Linked DNA regions of Sus scrofa. The protein of the gene in region 1 binds, or shares a complex with, the protein of each later gene. Links are inferred from orthologs where the notes say so. Each region holds a gene or a part of one and is shown in the gene's direction. Other genes may lie near its edges. The genes, in order: TTF2 and AKAP17A.

Region 1 (3,610 bases):
GGCTGTGGCCAGTGGCTACAGCTCCAATTGGACCCCTAGCCTGGGAACCTCCATATGCTGCGGGAGCGGCCCTCAAAAGGCAAAAAGACAAGGAAAAAAAAAAAAAAATATATATATATAAAACAACCATTCTTAGCTTGTGAACCATACAAAGACAAACTGTGGACTGGATCGGGTCCATGGTATTTGCCCACCCTTGGTCTGGGATGTCGGCACCTCTGAACTTCACTTCTCTCCCAACAGGAATCCATCACTTGAAGATCAAGCTTCTGACCGAATTTACCGGGTGGGGCAGCAGAAGGATGTTGTCATACACAGGTGAGTAAGTTACGGTCATCGAGAACCAAGTGCTGCTGCGTGAAAATCTGCTTTGGGTCATATTTTCCCAGTATCTAAAATATTTGATGGTCACCTTAGCAACAGCACCCATGGGTCCCATCCTCCTTGGTTCTCAGTCAGGGAGGGAACACAGGCAGTTTGGGGGTAACCTTGGAGTTGGTCCCTGCAGAAGAAGAGAAGCTTATGTACAGGGCGAGCCTCGTCTCAGTCAAGGCAGCCCACGAAATGACTCTTCTCTCCCTCTCGCTCTCCCCCTCTCTTTTTTTGCTTAACTTTTATTTTGACGTAATGTCAGACATATAGAAAAGAATGTAAGAATTATTACAAGAATACTGCACAGTTCTTGAATGCAAGAATAATACAAAAAATTCTTGTACACTGTGACACATGTGTGTGTGTGTGTGAGTGAGCTTTTTTCTGGACCATTTGACAGTGAGTTGCAGACCTGATGCTTCTTTCCTTCTAATTGCTAGAACAGGCATTTCCCTGACAATGACATTTTCTTACATAACCATGAGAACATGACCAACACCAAGATGCTAACAATGACACAGTACTGTTATCTGATCTGTGGATCTTATGCAGCTTTGCCACTTGTCCAGGTGATGTCCTTTCCAGCAGAAGAATGCTCTAGGTCCTGTGTAGCATTCAGTTGTGTTGACTCTTTTGTCCCCTTTAATCTGCAGCGGTATCTCAGACTCTCTTTGTGTTTTAGGATAGTGACATTTTTAAAGTGCACAGGCCAGTTATTCTGGGGAATGTCCCTCTCCTTGGGCCCCTCCTGTCTTTAAAAACAATGACAACACTTCCCTTGACCATACAGTCCACCCTAGCCAGGGACTTTTTTCTCCCTTCCTTTTCGTTGCCAAGTTTCCTGAAGAGTTAGAAATCGTCGTCTGTCTTTTCTTGCTTATTTCCCATTCATTCCTCACCCTTTACAAACTGGCTTTCATCCCTGTTGCTCCGCGGAAGCTGCTCTTGCTGGGGGTGGGGTGGGGGGCATCCGTGAATTCCAAACTTTGCCAAGCAAGCAGTTATGTCAGTTGTTCCGTCTGTAGCTCTCAGCTCACTTTGTATGCACCTCTCTTAAGAATCCATCTACTGCAGTGAGTCCAAAATCTGTATTTTCCATTCTAAGGTCTCTTAAACTTCAGGCCTGCAAATCCACATCCCCATAAAGTATCTGAATCTGGGAGTTCCCATTGGCTCAGCGCTAACAAACCCAACTAGTATCCATAAGGACGTGGGTTTGATTCCTGGCCCTGCTCCGTGGGTTAAGGATCTAGCGTTGCCATGAACTGTGGCGTAGATCGAAGACGCAACTCAGATCTGGCGTTGCTGTGGCTGTGATGTAGGCCAACAGCTCCAGCTCCAATTCAACCCCTAGTCTGGGAACTTCCATATGCCACAGGTGCGGCCCGAAAAAGAAAAAAAGAAGCATAGGAGTTCCCATTGTGGCTCAGTGGTTAAGGACCCTGCCTAATCTCCTTGAGGATGTGGGTTTGACCCTGGCCTCACTCAGTAGGTTAAGGATCCAGTGTTGCCACAGACTGTGGCGTAGGTCACAGATGCACTTCGGATCCTACGTTTCTGTGGCTGTGGCGTAGGCCAGCAGCTGCAGCTCTGATTCCACCCCTTAGCCCGGGAACTTCCATATGCTGCAGGTGCAACCCTAAAAAGAAAAGATCCCAAGCATAGGTAGACATTTGAATATGTCATTAGATATTTAGCTTTGGGTTTTTGACTGTTGGCTTACGTGTCTGTTTTTCAGATTTGTTTGTGAAGGCACAGTGGAAGAGAAGATCTTGCAGCTCCAAGAAAAAAAGAAAGATTTGGCCAAACAGATCCTATCAGGATCTGGAGAATTTGTTACCAAGCTCACCTTGGCAGACCTCAAAATCCTTTTTGGCATCTAACTTCATGTTTCTGGGGCTCAGAATAGTGCTACTGTTGGTTTGTATTAGGGTCTGGGCATAACAACTAAGAAGCTTTGAGCTCTCCTTGGCATTTCACTTCACTGGCAACTTACCCTGTTAACCAGTTGGGCTTCAACTTATTAACGCATCAACTTATTTAATGAGTGACATAGAAACCAATAAATTACTTCAGATAAAATGCTTTAGGGTTAGATAATTTGGAAAACAACTCTGGGAGAGTGGTACAGCACAGAGAGCCCTCTGTCGCCTCCCTCTTCCCAGCTGATGCGGGAGCCAGTGTTCCTGCCTTTTTCTAACACAAGCTCCATCCCATCTCCATCTCTCCTGCCAACAAGTCTGCTCCAACCATTGCTACGGGCTGAGCCGAAGTGGATCCCTGTGGCCATTCCTCTGTAGTAGTTTCCGTCTAGGCAGTTCCTCCTCTCAGGCCTAAGGTCAAGGAGGCGCTTGGTACATGATATATAGGTCATTGGTATTTGTATCATCATATCATTTAGAATTTGCTCTCCTGTCATTATATCATCTTGTATCACTATCATATCATGTAACATTTATGTCATATAATTTCCCTTTGGTATCATTTTTATAGTATTTGTATTTTTACAGATTTACAGTTAATCTGTAGCACTTGGCATCATTACTTCATTTAGTGTTCTTGTATCATTTAGCATTTGTATTGTCATTGGCATAATCCAGTAAACACGTGTAGCCAAGATAATGCTTCGTGTTCACTAACCTCCATTTCCCTTCCCTCCTGGCCACCAGAGCCCACATTTCCTAGTCTTCACTGCAGTTATCCAGGCCCATGTTACTGAGTTCTAAGGCAGTGGGATATGGAGAGAAGGGAAGTAAGTCACTTCTTATCTGCCATCTACAACTTTGCAACTGACTCACGTTGCCTCTTCTGTGGCCCACTCCATACGGAGGCCCTGGTGGAAGACGACAGGGCCCTAGAGAATTTGAAGCCACTAGATCAGAGATTCTTCACCTGCTGTTGGCCATGGACCTTTGGTAGACTGGTAAGCCTCAGTTCCTGAATGAGAGCAGATCAAAGCCTGCCCTTCTCAACCCTATTGGACTCTGACATGACCAAGAAAAATTTTTTTTTTTTTTGTAAACTATAAGATTTGGGAGTTGTTCATACAGCAGTTAGTATCCTGACTCATACAGACTCTTGAGACGCTCTTACTTGGGAAACTCTTCAGATTCCCTTCTTCCCATTAGCAGTCATGTCCAAAACCCTCCCTCTGCTGATTTCTACTAGGAAGAATAGTACTTCTTTCTAGATAGAACGATTGCCCTCCTTTGCATGAGGATTCGAAGACAAAAGCCCG
Region 2 (3,447 bases), on another chromosome or scaffold:
GGGGACTGACTCGTGCTGGCTTTGCGACCACAGGGCAGCTGGCCTCGCAGGGGAGTGGGGGGTCTGGTGTGTGCGAGGCGGCAGGTGGCCGGGGGGCTGGTGGGCCCCCTCGCTTAGCTCTTTTCTCCTGCTGAAGGCCCTTGGCGTCCGAGTTCCCAGCCTGAGTCTGGGAGGAGCTCAGCTTGGGGCGTCAGGCCCACGCGCACCTTCACTCAGGTGTGTGCGGGGGGGCCCGGGAGCCCCCTCTCCGAAATGAGTCAGGGGGCATCCACCTCGTGTGCGGAAGGAGCCCTCCAGGTCATTCCACCCTGCGCCCTTCCCTACAGGTTTCTTTCGATTCCACCAAACACCTGAGCGATGCCTCCATCAAGAAGCGGCAGCTGGAGCGGCAGAAACTTCAGGAGCTGGAGCAGCAGCGGGAGGAGCAGAAGCGCCGGGAGAAGGAGGCGGAGGAGAGGCAGAGGGCCGAGGAGAGGTAGGCGCTGGCCGGGTGAGCCGGACCCCTCTGCGTGGGCGGCGGCCTCCGCCCGGTTGCCTGGCCCCGGCCTCCCTCCGAGCCGCCCAGGGCTGAGCAGGGCTCCTGCAGAGACTGGCAGAGCCTTGGCTGCTTTGCAGGGGTTGTGTTTGGGCCGAAGCTGCCGTCCCAAAGAGCAGTAGAGGCCCTGCGGCACGGGCGGGCTCGAAGCAAGTGTCTTTCAGGGCCTTCGGGGGGACTGCGGTTCACAGGCAGCGTCAGGTCCCGTGTCTCCCTGGCCGGGCGGTGTATCTGGGTTGTAAACACGTCTGCCCAGCGAGACTCCCTGGGCTCCAGGAGATAAGGAACAGTCGTCCTTGTCCCGTCACGGCTGCTGTGCCCTGGGTGCTTCTTGGCGTGGGGGTGGGGGTGGGTGGGTGTCAAGGTGTCACGGGCAGGGCTTCTGTCTGGCCGATTTAGGACTTTTGTGGCCGATTCCTTCCCTATCAGCCTCTCCACTTACCTCTTGGCTGAGCCGACTTCACTCGCGGGGCTGTCAGCTTCCTGTTTGTTTTCCCTTCTCCCCGCCGGCAGGAACAGGTGCCGAGGTGTCCTTGCAGTTGGTGGGGAAACCAGGGTCAGGGTCCAGCCCGTGCTGCTGCTCCTGACGCAGCCGGTGGACGTCCCCAGGGGGTCGGCCTGCTGGCCGGGGAGGCTCCGGCCGGGGATCGGGAGCCCGCAGGGAGGCTGGCGTGGGGCCAGCCGAGGGTGTGCGTGCCGCGTGGCTGTCCTCCGGCGGTGGCGGCGGCGCTCACAGGGCTGTTTGCATCTCGACCTGGGCGAGGCTCAGGGACGTCCAGGCCCCCCAGCTCGGGTCCCCAACGGGCCTTGTCCTCGCGTCCCCAAGATGGCCCTTGATCGCAGGCCAGGAATCGCAGACGTTACCCCTCGGCGTTTCCGTCTCCTTCATCAGGGCGTCGTCGAGGTTCGGGTTGTGGCAGTTTGTGCTGTCGGCGTCGTGAGCCCGCCACACGCCCCACGGCGTTTCCAGAAGCAGCTCTGAGGTCCCGTTAAAGACACTTCCCTCGAGCTTGGTGGAGAAACGAGGGCAGGGAATTGGGCCGAGAGTGGTCTTTGAGGACAGAGGGTCAGATGGGTCCCCGAGGTGTGCTGAGGACACGGATTCACAGCTGGTGGCGTGGCCTCTGCTGCCGCCTGGGATGACACTGGCCGAGAGGTGGCAGGGCCGCGAGGCGGAGCCGGGCAGGCCTGGGGAGCCTCCGGGTCTGTCCTCTGTCACGGGTGAGGTGCTGGGTGTTCGGGCTCAGTCTGGATCCGCAGTCAGGCTCCTGGACTTGGCCTTTAGCCACAGTTTAGAGCCGTGGGCGCTCTGGGGCTCTTAGGGGACCCCTGGTGCCAGGGACCATCAGAGATGTGGCCTTCTGGCTGCTGTCACCCTCATTGCTTCCCACGTGAGCCTGGGCCGGCCTTTCCCTCTGTGTGGGGGCTTGGCTGGTTCCGGGGCTCCAGCACCCCTGGCAGCCGTGTGCCCCCATGGCCTCAGAGGGCTCCCCCAGGTGGCATCCTGCCCTGAGCAGCCGGGGGCTCTGCCCCTCCGCCCCCACCCCGCCCTGCAGGTTCCTGGAGAAGTCAAAAGCCCCAGCACTCGGGAGGCAGGCGTACAGTGTGACGCCCCTTGGTCTTCCACACCTTCCCTGGGGTCTCCAGCCATCCTGATGGCCTTCGATCCTCATCTGGGGGACCCCCCCCCAGAAAGGATGGTAGGGTCCAAGCCGGTGTGTGTGGTGTGTAAGCGTGTGGCACAGTCATTGCCTGCAGGTAGTGCCCGTGGTGACCTCGCAGGGTGTCCCCAGGTGGTGTGAGCTGTCCTGCTGTCAGGACCGCTCCCCCTTCTTTAGGGACGGGCCCCAGCAAAGCGGGTCGGGTGTCTGTTACCGTGGTCTGCCTGTTCTACAGCATCCCGCGGCAGGGTCGTGCCATTGGCTCCGTGCTGGCAGAGCCTTCCTGTGGGCACGGTCCCCGGTGGGAACATCTGGGGCAGGGGCGCCCCCGCCCCTGAAACTCGTTTGTGTCCTCTGCAGCCACTCCACTGGGCGGCTGGGCTGTGTGGGGCAGGCAGCGTGTCCTGTGCAGGTGCGGCCCACCAGCGGGGGTGGGCCTTGTTCCAAGCTGCATTTTCCAATGTCTTGTACCCCCTCCCCATGGAGTCCGGGCTGGGCTCGCACTTAGCCAGACTCTGCCCCGCAAGGCGATGGCCCCCGCCCCGCCCCCATGCGCCTCTGCGCTCCTTAACGTCCTTGGACTTGGACGTGGGGGTGAGACGCTGCGACGTCGTCTTTCCCGCGGCGTCCCCGCCGGCTCCGCTGAGGCCCTGGTGCCTGCGTCCCGCACAGGAAGCAGAAGGAGCTGGAGGAGCAGGAGCGGGAGCGGAAGCGGGAGGAGAAGCTGCGCCGGCGTGAGCAGAAGCAGAGAGACCGCGAGCTGCGGCGCAGCCAGAAGAAGCTGGAGAAGCTGCAGGCCGAGGAGCAGCGGAAGCTGCAGGAGAAGATCCGGCTGGAGGAGCGCAAGCTGCTGCTGGCCCAGCGCAACCTGCAGTCCATCCGGCTCATCGCGGAGCTGCTGAGCCGCGCCAAGGTACCTCCTCGGCGCTCCTGCGGGGCTCCCACCCCCGCTGGCTGCTGCAGCACAGCCTGGAGGCGGGAGGGAGCGGCGCCGCGTCCGCGGACCTGAGACCCATGCAGCCTCCGCCCTCTCTTCCTGCATCTGCTGCGTCCTGCATGCTCTCAGTCTCTGCGAGCGGAAGGTCTCCTCCAGTCTCCGCTAGGAGGCTGGGAGGGGCGGGGCCCGCAGAGCGACGCCCTCCCCGGGGCTCCTCCCACTCCGGCTTCAGCTAGGGCTCCGCCAGGTACCCCCGCGGGAGAACAGGCTGAGCCTGGTCCAGGGGCCGCGGCCGCGCTAGCCCCGGGAGGCCA

What was found.
Region 2: TTF2 (region 1) and AKAP17A share a complex: the UniProt entries of both Homo sapiens proteins name them as parts of the spliceosome. The link is inferred for Sus scrofa from reciprocal best matches to the Homo sapiens genes TTF2 and AKAP17A.

Annotation. Positions count from the first base shown.
Region 1 is NC_010446.5:103,631,758-103,635,367, reverse strand, and holds the end of TTF2 (transcription termination factor 2), read left to right. Parts: intron 1-243; coding exon 244-318; intron 319-2,110; coding exon 2,111-2,255; 3' UTR 2,256-2,991; downstream 2,992-3,610. UniProt on the Homo sapiens protein: DsDNA-dependent ATPase which acts as a transcription termination factor by coupling ATP hydrolysis with removal of RNA polymerase II from the DNA template. May contribute to mitotic transcription repression. May also be involved in pre-mRNA splicing.
Region 2 is NW_018084901.1:899,072-902,518, forward strand, and holds part of AKAP17A (A-kinase anchor protein 17A), read left to right. Parts: intron 1-326; coding exon 327-475; intron 476-2,868; coding exon 2,869-3,109; intron 3,110-3,447. UniProt on the Homo sapiens protein: Splice factor regulating alternative splice site selection for certain mRNA precursors. Mediates regulation of pre-mRNA splicing in a PKA-dependent manner.